Oryza sativa Japonica Group: one gene and its partners. The protein of the gene in region 1 binds, or shares a complex with, the protein of each later gene. Links are inferred from orthologs where the notes say so. Each region holds a gene or a part of one and is shown in the gene's direction. Other genes may lie near its edges.

Region 1 (4,812 bases):
GCTTGTCTTCTCCACTCATATTTGATATTTCCTTCCTTGTTCTGTAGCTTGCGCAACTTAATTGGCAAGGTTACAATTCAAGAGCCTACATTTGAAGAGGTGATTGTCTTGTACAGGTAAGTCCCGTAAATTATTTGCATCTGAGGATGCAGGAAACCTTTTTCGGGTGCGCCCTGGTTGTGAATTGGCTGCTTTCATGATGTCTTGAACTACTGTGTTATAACTGATTTCTGACTGTTCTTTCAGGAGGAAAAGCCCTAAGGGCCAGAATGATAGATCAATTCATGTAAAGCACTTCAAAAATATTCCAATGGCAGATATGGAGCTGGTTTTGGTAAGTGTAGAAGCTTAATATGCCAAAGAATAATGTGGTGACATCCATATTGCTTTCTTCAATTGGACTTATGCTGAAGAGAAATTATGACTGTTGCAGCCTGAGAAGAAAAATCCAAGCCTCACACCAATGGACTGGGTTCAGTTTATTGTTTCTGTTGTCATTGGACTTGTAAGTGGACTGGAACTGGTTGCACTTGATTGGGTTGTGATTCATCACCTGATGATTATTTTTTTCACATTGCTCAGGTTACACTTGTCAGTTCGCTCGAAATGCCTAAAGCTGATTTCTGGGTTGTAGTTGCCGTCCTTTCTGCCCTGGCTGGATATTGTGCCAAGATCTATTTATCGTGAGTGCCTTGGTTGATATATTTGTTTTGATTGGGTATTCGTCTTGTCATCTTGTCGGTAATCTGCATTGTGTATATAATAGAGCAGGGACAGGGAGGATTTTTGTTTACTCATCCAGCCAGAATTACTTTAGAATACCTCCATAAAATGCAGTTTTGCTTCCCTGATTCCTTCAGCATTTTCTTATTTATGATGATACTTTATTTGCTGTATTGGTTGTATTGGACAAATTTGGTAAATAAGCTACCTTTGATTCAGGTTTCAACAGAACATGGCAACATATCAAAACCTAATAACTCAATCAATGTATGACAAACAGCTAGATAGTGGGAAAGGCACACTTCTCCATCTCTGTGATGATGTGATTCAGCAGGAAGTAGGTCTCCATATTGTAGTACTTGATTCAGAATAAGCATATCAGAGACTTGTGCTCACAATTATTTTCATCTTTGTGGTTTCTGAATTCTGATGTCCAGGTCAAGGAGATTATAATTTCCTACTATATTTTGATGGAAAATGGAAAGGCGACTATTGAGGTATTGCTTTGGTATTTGAAACAAGCATGTTTTGTTTCTGAAGTTGTGCAAGTATAAAAATTGAGTTGAATATTCTTGGCACTCAATGCTAGGATCTTGACTTACAATGTGAAGAGTTAATCCAAGAAGAGTTTGGCTTGCAATGCAATTTTGAGGTGATGGATGCTGTTCAGAAGTTAGAGAGGCTTGGCATCATTACAAGAGTGAGTTCTTACAGCTTGTTACAGCAGTACCAAATCATAGTGAGATATATATCCCCAAAAAAAACTTAGATAAATTTCAGAATGTATAGAATCTAAAAGAATTTTTAAATGAAATACCATTATGTTGTTACTCGCATTTTCTCTATTTTAATCATGGATAATAAAGCCAGTGATGCTTGCAGGATTCTATTGGAAGAATATGCTGTCTATCTCTGAAGCGTGCCAATGAGATCATTGGCGCTACTACAGAAGAGCTGGTTATGAAGGCCAGACAAAGCTAGTTATCCAATTCTATTTGAACCAGGTAATCCTTTGGTGGACTCTAGGCTTCCATCATTAGATTGTTTCTGGTTTTTTGGATGGGACATTATATTGTTTCTGGAATACTCCAAGAAGTCCTGACACTGATTTCTTTGCAGTTTAGGGGGGCAATAGGTCCTGGACGGCTGCGGAATAATTCTCCGATGGAAGTTGAGCAGATATGCTATTGTTGTTCTGTTGTAGGACCTGCTGTATTATGCAATGTTTAATGCATGTTGTAAGAAATTTAGTTTCTTCTTGGAACAAAATGTGGAAAGATTTCAGTAAAAAAAAATGTGGAAAGAGGTTCATGAACTGCTGCCTTGTTTGTTCAGTTAATGAATACTCCTACAAGAAATGCAGCAGCCTGCTAACTCAAGGCACAAGAGCCAAGTATGACGCATAAAAAGCATACTGAAGCAGTGAAAAAGCGCTGCTGATGGTGCACTGTATCTCAGCCACTGAATCAGTGACGTCCGACACAGTGACACTGGGTTGCTGGTTCTTTTTCTGCTCTTTTCATTTACAAATCATGTCCTCATGTTGCAGTTGTCTTTTCCTTGTCTCTCCTGATGTGTAAAACACAAGGCTCTGTGCTTGCTGTTGCTAACAATTCAGATTCATCAGAATGCAATAATGTAGTACTAACAAATACTAGTTCTATTCATTCACAAGATTATCATGCATATCTGACCTGATTACTGACTGACTAATGAGGTGATGCAGATTTCTTTCCAGGCATGAAGAAAAAGAAAGAAAAGAGGAAAAAAGCAGCGAAAAATCCTGGACGGTACATGCCCCATACCCATTATCCTCTTGTTTTTGTCTCCTTGCAGCAAAGTATAAGTGCAGCAGCAGCTACCAGCTAAGCAAGAAGCGAGCAGCAGAGCTCAGCGTTTGGAGCGAGATGATGAGCAGCAGCAGCAGCTTGGTGTCCGCCATTTCTGCGTCACCGTCTGCCACTGCAAAAGCTCGCCTTCGTCATGACGATGCAGCAACAGCAACAGGAGCAGCAGCAGCAGCAGCAGTAGCAGCGAGGCAGCTAAAGACGGAGCATGGCGGCTGCTGCTGCTGCCGGAGCAGAGGCCGGGCGGTGGTGGCGAGGGCGGGGCCCGGGCCACTGACGGAGATCGAGCCCGACCTGAACGAGGACCCCATTGATAAGTGGCGCACCAACGGCGTCAGCCCGGTCTGTCCTCCTCGCCGTCGCCGGCCACCGTGTTGAGAATTTCATTATTTTTCTCTATTCCAAGCAGTTTCCATGGTTTCTTTGATTCTTTCTTCAGTGATTGCTGCTGCTGTGCTGTGTTGTCTGAAGAAATGGTTTTGACACTGAAAAGAATCTGCTTTGCAGGACGACTTCGAGTATGGAGTGTATGATGGTCACCACACATATAATGAAACCCAAGGTTCTTTTTCTGGGCTATCTTATCCAGTTATCCATTCCTTGAATCAAAATGCGTAATCATGCTCATGTGTGCTAATTTCTGATTCTTATGTGATATGATGTGGAAAAAAAAATCATTTGACACTGAAGATAAGAAGGGCTTTTGGGAGGATGTCTCTGAGTGGTACCAAGAAGCTGAACCTCCTCAGGGCTTCCAAGGTAGTAACAGCCAAATTCCTTTCTCACTTGGATAAATCAGAGAAAAATCAGATTCTTTCAGATAAATCAGAGAAAAAAAATCAGATCTTTCTTCTCTTAAGACAAGCTTGCTCAATTTGCACTGATGGGCCATCTCTTGCAGCACTGATCTCCTGGTTGTTTCCTCCTGCAATCATCCTTGGCATGGCCTTCAATGTTCCGGTAACATATTGAGCAGTAGTTCCAGCCTACTGACATGTATCACATTTCACAATCTGTCTTGGCTCTTGAGCTCTCTGAATATGTGTCTACTTCTGCCACTAGGGGGAGTACCTCTACATCGGCGCAGCAGTGTTCGTCGTCGTGTTCTGCGTTATCGAGATGGACAAACCGGACAAGCCACACAACTTTGAGCCGGAGATCTACATGATGGAGAGATCGGCTCGCGACAAGCTCATCGCCGACTACAACACCATGGACATCTGGGACTTCAACGAGAAGTACGGCGAGCTCTGGGACTTCACCGTCGACAGAAGAGATGAGATTGTGAAATCGTCTTAGATATGGTATTCAGAAATGGGGGGTCACATTTGTTAGATGCAGCTGCAGAAACAGTTCAGAAAATCAGAACCACTCCAAAGAAAAGCAGGGTGGCAAAGCTGCAAGATGAGTCTCTTCAAAATAAAGAACTTTGAGATGAAATGATGTGTGTATGGATCATCTCATCTACTGTAAGGCCTGCTTTCTATGTCTCTGACAGTCTCAACTCTGAAGTTCTCAGCCAGGTACAAAAGGAGACTGAAAATTCTGTCATGTGTATTTTGTTTTCCCCCCAATGTAATGGAGAAAATCCTGTGAATGACATCACTAATTCAATAGATATATATAGTAGTATAATGGAATAACTTTGGCATCAGCCTCCAATATTATCAATATGTAAAAGAAAAGGAAATATCATTCTTTTCTTGTACAGGAAAAGGAATAAAGGGAACCTCACAGCTGTTCCTTTTTTGTACACTTGAGTTACAGCTGAATCACTATGAAGACCAAAGAAAAGAGAGAGAGAAATAATAAATGGAAAGGGAATTGCTAGTCTATAACTCTGATGATGAGAGGAAACTAGCTAGTTCTTCTTCAACCTGATGTTGTGAAGAGCTGACTACCTAGAGTCACAGTTGGTGTGCTTTCTGGCATGATTGTGGTCATCCTCATCTCTTGCTCGCGAATTCGGTTTATCTCCGCCTCCACCAAGTTCATCGATGGGCGATGCTCGCTCGTCGGGTTCACGCACCACGATGTCAACCGCAGAAATTCTCTCATGCCTTCTGAGGTATAGGCACTGGCCATTCTGTTATCTGCAATTGCAGAGATATCACTTGATTGTTGGAAGTTCTGCACCTGCGTATCAGCAAAACTGCAAATTTAGTACGGATTTTACAACGGTCGACAGATTATTACAAGAACAGGGAAAGCCTCTAACAAATGAGGAATTGGGTGTGTCAGC
Region 2 (3,470 bases), on another chromosome or scaffold:
CAGTATTAGCGCGTAATTAATTAAGTATTAGCTAATTTTTTTAAAAAAGATTAATTTGATTTTTTAAGCAACTTTCATATAGAAACTTTTTATATTAAAAAAACACGCCATTTAGCAGTTTGAAAAAGCGTGCGCGTAAAATGGGCATCGAACATAGCTTAAGTCTATTTTGCCTCCTTCCACTATTGCGTTGTGCTGAATCGCATCCTCCAAATTCGAAACAGTTACAAATCGATTTCTTCTATTGTTGCAAAGTTTCTACTCACGGGGTAGTTAACCATGGTCAAACTTGTTGACGTGTACAAATGGAATCACATGTAGGGATAGATATCGAGTTGACTCGGCTCGGCTCATCAACAAGCTCGAGCTAGCTCGTTAAGCTCACGAGCTAGGGGCAAGAGACATAGCCGGCGAGCATAGGAAGCAGCTCAACCTCGCCTGCACTTCAAGTCTGCAACTAGGGGAGGAGGGGAGGAGCTTGACGGCGGAGAAAACGAGCTCGAGCTTGAGCTCGACGGCGACTACAGAGAGGAGCTCGATGGTGGAGGGGATGAACTCAACCTTCACAGCTCCGCCGACACTTGGACAGTTCACGGTTGGACCACGAGGAGGAGGCGAGCTCGACGGCGGGCACTGGGGGAGAGGCGGAGAGCGGCGGCGGCAGGCGCTCGATGGGGGTTGGCGGCGGCGGCTTGGCGCGGTGGCGATGGCGCTCACACGGCGGCGTGGCGCAGCGCCGATGGCGATGGCCGAGATGCGGATGCCGAGATGCACCGAGCGCCCAAGCCGCTGATGCGATGCGAATGCGATATGTGCGAGACGGTGGTGGACAGGGAGTCAGGGTCTCAGGCTGAGGTGAACTAGGGTTTTTTTTGATGAGTCTATTGGGCCAATGGGCCATAATGTATGTGTGCTGTTAGCTGTGGACCTGACTTGGCCTGGTAACCCCATAGCTCGTTAAGGCTCGCGAGCAGCTCGAGCTGGCTCGTTATCTCTAACGAGCTAAGATGCCAGCTCGGCTCGTTAGGAAATTCAAACGAGACAAGCCAAGTCGAGCCTGTCACGAGCCGAGTGAGCTAACGAACCACAAGCTTTCTGTCCACCCCTAACCACATGTAAATGCCTTGGTTTGCACCAGATTGAGAGGAGGAAGAGAGAAGATTGAGAAGATACACAAAACGAGGTGAGACATTAGCACATGATTAATTGAGTATAAACTATTTTAAACTTAAAAAATTGATTAATATGATTTTTTAAAGCAACTTTCGTATAGAAAATTTTTACAAACACACCGTTTAGTATTCGGGAAGTGTGTGCGTGGAAAACGAAACAAACTAACTCAAAATCACTGAATCACCTCCTGCAGAATAAGAAGATGGTGGAGGCATTATACCAGGTTTAGCGGTTAAGAGAGACGATTCAATCAAGAGCGAGAGAGGAGGGAGGCAAGTTAGACTAATTCCTTCATGCAGCCATTCTGTCGGCCCCTAGGAGAGGCAGCCCCATCAAACCGAGAGAAATATCTATGTGGTGCACTTTTGCAAAGGCGAAGGTTTTCCTCATCCTCTCGTGGCATCGCGCGCTATCCATTCATTCCCTTGCTACACTGACACACATCCTCGATGGCCACTTATCTCCAATCAGCAGGCCTCACCGCCGCCACTGCCAGCACCAGCCGCCTCCTCCGGCCAACACCACGGAGGCTGCTCCTCCTCGTGGCGGCGTGCTCCACTGGCGGACGGAGATCAGCCTGCCTCTCCGTCGGCCTCGCAGCCGCCGCCGCCACCATCTTCCAGCATCATCCCGCCTGCGCCGCCACCGACGACGAGCCGGCAAACAATGGGTGGTGGCTCACCGAGTTCCCTTTGCCGGTGCCAAAGATTGTCAACAGTGAGTAGTAAATTAATTACCATTACACACACAAAATATATAAATATAGTGATTGCAATATATATATATATATATATATATATATATATATATATATATATATATATATATATATATATATATATTGTGTGTGCAGAGGAGCTGAACAATGGCGAGACGGGGAGCCGGACGTTCGTGAGGAACGGCATCTACATAGCCGACATCGGGCCGAGCTACGCGGCGCACGCGTACAGGCTGCGGAGCACGGCGTTCGACCTGCTGGCGCTGGAGGACCTGCTGGGCAACAACGCCGACAGGGCCAACTACGTCACCAAGTACCTCCGCCTCAAGTCCACCTTCATGTACTTCGACTTCGACAAGCTCATCTCCGCCGCCTCCGACGACCAGCGCCCCCCGCTGCTCGACCTCGCCACCCGCCTCTTCGACAGCTTCGAGCGCCTCCAGAAGGCCTGCGGCACCAAGGACGACACCCAGATCGGCTCCTCCTATGCCGACACCAAGATCATCCTCCAGGAGGTCATGGCAAAGATGGCCTAGTGTTTCTGTTGGTGTACTAGCTAGTACTGTATTTCTCTCACTTTACTTGTCATACATACATATATATATATATATATATATATCCTCCTCATCACACACATATTCATATTCACATCTACGCTATGCAATATAACTTCATACTCAGTAAGTACTAAAAAGCAACAGAGCATTTCAATTCCAATTACTTGTCTGTCTTTATCATCCAAACAAAGCCAGCCCAACACAACACAGGGCACTTCTCCAATAAAATACAACCAACCTCACATCTTGTTACTACCACTGCACATTGATGCAGCCACAAATTAGATACTACAGTACTATCTGTAATGTAATGCAATGCGATGCTCGTACAATCAACAAAGCCACATGCCAAATCAGAATATTATACACACCCTCTAAGCAACCAACACACGGAGGGGATGCAAATGATCCATTGCATCCCTCAAACAACACACAAATACAATTAGTCATGGACATTCATTTTGTCCAAGCCAACTCATCCTTGCGCCAAGCTACGCACTTGGGTTTGACGACGAGGGATGCCAATCTCGCACGAGTTCACCCGTGCTGCGAACCGTAGCGAGCAAATTGACTCCCCTGTAGACGACACCTCTGGAGACAGATTCACAAACATAAGTGTCTTCGAGTCTCCTCCAAGGCATGGCTGTGTCCAAGGGGAACAAAATCATTCACACATTATAGCCACGGAAACTAGAACAAGTTTGCAGATATTCTTAGCTGAGTGCTTAGAATTTACCTGTAGCAAGTACGTTAATTTTGAGTTCCTGAACGGAACGTGCTCCTCTTTCTTTGCAATGGAGAAGATTACATCGCTCAAGCATGAGAGGCTCTTATTAATAGCCTAAATAGCAAATTTATATCATAACAGTGGTTACGCATTGTACCATGTACACACCTTAGATGCAACAAAAACTGAGGTGTGAAATAGCAAATTACCTGTGTCTCCTTTAGCCTATCTCCGGTGGCACCGCTCTTGTTAAGCCGCTCACTGCCGGCAAGATCGATTAGATTGAGCACTCCTT
Region 3 (3,925 bases), on another chromosome or scaffold:
CCTGCATGCATGCATGCATGCGACAACCTCGCTCCTTCAACGTGTCCCTGCATACAAACGAGGAGCAGCGTCTTTAAAAAAATATTGAACGTACGATTGGTAGGCTCCGATATTTGAAAAAATATTGAACGTACGATTTGTAGCGTCCGATTTAAAAATATTTCAACATAATTAAGTATTTGTGCAAAAATATTTTATTTTTCATATGATTTTTTTTATGTTTCACTCATTGGTATTTAACGTTTTGTGTAGTGGTTGTGATTGTTTCAGTTAGTAAATTGTTGTATTTCTCTAAATTTGAAACAATTCACGAGGTGAGTTGTAATATTTGTGTACATGTGATGAAACAGTTTTCTATCAATGGTGAGACAAGTTATTTTTTGAGACACATGTATATTTTTATCAAAATATAACCATGTGAGATCTTGTTATAAAGATTTAATGATGATGAATCTAATGGTATCATTGAAATTTAGATCAGAATATATAATTTTGGAGAAAAAAATATTTAAAATTTGAGGAAAAAATTAGGCACATGTAATAATAGAAGGGAGAGGGAGGGAGCGTATGCAAGCAGCAGCGCAAGCAACACATACAGGGGAGGCAAGCAACGTGGCACGTGAACAATGCAGCATGGGCGGCCTACATGCATGCGTATGCGCGCGGCAGTGCGGGGGTGAGCGTTGACCAGCAAGTGAAACATTATGTTATATATGGTGAAACAAAAAAAATCAACAACCGAAACATTTAAGTATTTTATGAAACATGGTGAAAATACACGTTGAAACATGTCGCTGGCACATATGAAACAACAAGTATTAACGAATTGAAACATATATTTTTCTTTTATCAAAATAAAATCATGTGATATTTTATTGTAAAGATTTAATTAGAACAAATATAATGGTGTGATCGGATCATAAATTGGATAAGTAATTTAAGAGAAAAATTATTTTGAAGCTTGCTAAAATACATACATGTGTGCATGGATGAGGTGGAGAGAGAGGAGAGAGAGTAGTAGCAGTTAGTTTCATGAATTTTGTGAAACACACCGATGACACATATTGAAACATATCACTATCACGTACGAAACATTTTGTTTTAACGTTTTGAAATACATGTTTTTCTTTTGACATAATATAATCATGTGATATCTCATTGTAAAGATTTAATTGCAACGAATAGAACGGTGTGATCGGATCGTAAATTGGATAAGTAATTTAGGATAAAAAATATCTAAAGAGAGGAGAAAAGAATGAAAAGAAGCAGTTAGACACATACGTTACAGTGACAGGGTTCGTTCTCACATGCCTGCATGGGCGTCCGATTTTTGGTGAGATGCCGGACGCCAAGCCGTAGCGCCCTCCAAGAAATGGCGGACGGATGCACGTAACGGGCCACGAGCCCACGGGTCAACCTAATCCCATCCGGCCCAAACATGACCTTGACCGGGCAAGGCCTAGCAACGCTCAAGCCCGCTTCAACCAAGCCCAAAATTCTTGTGCTTTTCGTCTGCCCAAGATCAGACAATGGTTGGCCACCCAAAAGTCTGACCTTATCCACTAAAATTTTCCATACAGATTACAGGTTACAGGTTTCACCCCTGAGCCAAACGTGAGCCCGCTACACTGACAACAACAAGCTCATCGCCAACCCGCTACTGAAGCAGCAGCCTACCAGCAATGGCGTTGCCGCTGCTCAAGTCGTCCCCCCACTTCTCTGCTCTTCACTCCGCGAACAGAGCCCAGCTCCATGGCCGCTGCCGTGCAACGGTACCGCACCGTCCATTCTCCCCTTCGCGTTCATGCAAAAACTGCTTTCCTGAATTCCTTGCGAATTTCACCTACTTGTTCAAATGTTGTTGTTAAATTTGCAGCTCGGTGGATTCCATGACCCGAGGTCCAACTCCAGCCGTTGCAAGGTGAAAGGTCCCAGTGCATTTTAATTTTTTCACCGAGAAAGAAGAAATCCGTGGTGATTGGTGAGGCAAAGTAATGCGGTCTTAGCGTTTGCAGAAATCGGCCGGGAGGGGTTCAGTGAAGGCGAACGCGTCCCCGTTGGACGTGGTGACGCTGATGGTGACGATGGTGGAGCACGTCGACCTGCAGAGGGACTACGTCGTGCACAAGTCGATCTGGCATCTCAGCGACGCCGCCCTCAAGAGCGTCTGTGAGTCGTCGTCGTCGTTTCACCTTTCCTGCAGTTTGTTGTTACGTCTGAAACTGAAACTTTTCACAAAAAAATTTCTCTGTCTGTCTCGTAGATACCTTCTACGCCTTCTTCACAGTCTGGGGCATCTGCTTCTTTGCGTCCATGAAGGCAAGCACGCAGAACATATGCCACTACAACTTGGAACGAAATTACATCTTCGATATGTGTTACTGACACGGTCTTGTGTGAATTTACAGGATCCTTTCTACGACAGTGAGGCGTACAGGGGACAAGGGGGTGACGGCACCGTGCACTGGTACTATGACCGGGTATGTCTTTCATTACGGCTTTTTTTTTTTCCTTTATCACGAAGAAAGAACATTCAGACAATTAGACAAACTCTAGTTGTGCGAAGCTACTAAGATAACCAGTCATTTTGCTGATCGATCTCCACTCTCCCATGGTTGATTCTGCAGCAAGAGGACCTGGAGGCGTCTGCAAGAGAGGAGCTCCTGAGGGAGGAGCTACTCGAGGAGATCGAGCAGAGGGTCGGAGGGCTCAGAGAACTCGAGGAAGCAGCCAAGGAGGAGCAGCTTACAAACTGATGGATGAATGAGAGATTGCGCATGGATGGATGACTGCATGATCATGGCGCGATGCGGCTGCATTCTGTAATACCGTACAGAGCGGCTGTGTAATAGCAAGATACACAGTTGCCTGATAGCGCCTGTAAATGTTGGCATCAGACTCAAAAGGAAAGCAAATAGGTGCTCCGTCTGCATGAATGCATTATATTGCATTTGTAGTGTAGGCTAAAAGAAGGAATGTACTACTCCATGTTAATCAAAGAACCTGTACCGTTCACCATGGTGGATATTGCTTCCAAAATATATAAATTGTGTAAATCGACTGATATAGACCTACACCATGGTGGATATACGTGCCCTGTGGAGACGGAAGTTTTGTCAGATCGCAACCAAATTGTGGCGATCCAATATGCTTTCGTTCTGTCGGCTCTCACGGTGTCGGGCCAACTTTATTTGGGTCCAGTACAGAATGGTAGCGATTATGGGCTACCTTTACCGGGCCGCTCGGTGATGGACTGGCCCAAAAAACTCCGTTAGTTCGGCCTGCTTGCGCTGGTGGTCGCGCGCTGGGAATTGGACGCCATCGTCGGCCACGGCCATTCGATCGAGGAAGAAGAACCGCTGATCATACTTGAGCTGCTCCACTACAGGCCGCGAACCAGCAGCAATCAGTCTGCACTCAACGTACAGTACAGACCACACTACCACAGTAGGTAGCACATGTATATACTACTTGTATAGGGTGCAGAACTTCGTAGTATTCCGTCGATCAGCTCATCAGTCATCAGAGACTAACAATAGTTATTTCGACACAGGTCTCTCGACAGGCTTGAATCGGCTGGGCCATGGCTGATGCAAGCGATCGTGATCGGCTCGCTCCCGACATGTGCGGGTGAGGTCGCGGCGAGCCGGAGTAGGGCTGCAGGAGCAGCAGATGGGCATGCGTACGGCGCGAACAGACCGGCCAGCAGCAGCGGCGTGATCGAGACTGAAACGATCAGGCGATGTACTGTGCTAGTACACTGGTCGCTGCGCAAAGCTGCAAGGAGTAGGACTAGCTGCTGATCCCACACAGGATACTGGTATGATCGCCTACTGTGTACTGGTTGGTGTCTTTGTGATAACACAGATGAACGCAGATCGGCAGATGCATAAACATGTAGTAGGAGTACTTCATTATTTGGACT

Evidence for each region.
Region 2: photosynthetic NDH subunit of subcomplex B 5, chloroplastic (region 1) and photosynthetic NDH subunit of lumenal location 3, chloroplastic share a complex: the UniProt entries of both Arabidopsis thaliana proteins name them as parts of the chloroplast NDH complex. The link is inferred for Oryza sativa Japonica Group from reciprocal best matches to the Arabidopsis thaliana genes PnsB5 and PnsL3.
Region 3: photosynthetic NDH subunit of subcomplex B 5, chloroplastic (region 1) and photosynthetic NDH subunit of subcomplex B 4, chloroplastic share a complex: the UniProt entries of both Arabidopsis thaliana proteins name them as parts of the chloroplast NDH complex. The link is inferred for Oryza sativa Japonica Group from reciprocal best matches to the Arabidopsis thaliana genes PnsB5 and PnsB4.

Annotation. Positions count from the first base shown.
Region 1 is NC_089035.1:41,426,584-41,431,395, forward strand, and holds photosynthetic NDH subunit of subcomplex B 5, chloroplastic, read left to right. Parts: upstream 1-1,852; 5' UTR 1,853-2,630; coding exon 2,631-2,912; intron 2,913-3,077; coding exon 3,078-3,132; intron 3,133-3,260; coding exon 3,261-3,329; intron 3,330-3,471; coding exon 3,472-3,530; intron 3,531-3,632; coding exon 3,633-3,869; 3' UTR 3,870-4,213; downstream 4,214-4,812. Other genes in the region: uncharacterized protein, read left to right, coding at 48-116, 247-334, 434-505, 583-683, 943-1,060, 1,161-1,220, 1,313-1,423, 1,606-1,704; serine/threonine-protein kinase-like protein ACR4, read right to left, coding at 4,443-4,706. UniProt on the Arabidopsis thaliana protein: NDH shuttles electrons from NAD(P)H:plastoquinone, via FMN and iron-sulfur (Fe-S) centers, to quinones in the photosynthetic chain and possibly in a chloroplast respiratory chain.
Region 2 is NC_089041.1:312,118-315,587, forward strand, and holds photosynthetic NDH subunit of lumenal location 3, chloroplastic, read left to right. Parts: upstream 1-1,548; 5' UTR 1,549-1,622; coding exon 1,623-1,890; intron 1,891-2,026; coding exon 2,027-2,427; 3' UTR 2,428-2,608; downstream 2,609-3,470. Other genes in the region: kinesin-like protein KIN-14N, read right to left, coding at 2,924-3,091, 3,185-3,289, 3,385-3,470. UniProt on the Arabidopsis thaliana protein: NDH shuttles electrons from NAD(P)H:plastoquinone, via FMN and iron-sulfur (Fe-S) centers, to quinones in the photosynthetic chain and possibly in a chloroplast respiratory chain.
Region 3 is NC_089036.1:31,695,791-31,699,715, forward strand, and holds photosynthetic NDH subunit of subcomplex B 4, chloroplastic, read left to right. Parts: upstream 1-1,576; 5' UTR 1,577-1,682; coding exon 1,683-1,772; intron 1,773-1,876; coding exon 1,877-1,921; intron 1,922-2,015; coding exon 2,016-2,169; intron 2,170-2,263; coding exon 2,264-2,319; intron 2,320-2,408; coding exon 2,409-2,480; intron 2,481-2,627; coding exon 2,628-2,756; 3' UTR 2,757-3,063; downstream 3,064-3,925. UniProt on the Arabidopsis thaliana protein: NDH shuttles electrons from NAD(P)H:plastoquinone, via FMN and iron-sulfur (Fe-S) centers, to quinones in the photosynthetic chain and possibly in a chloroplast respiratory chain.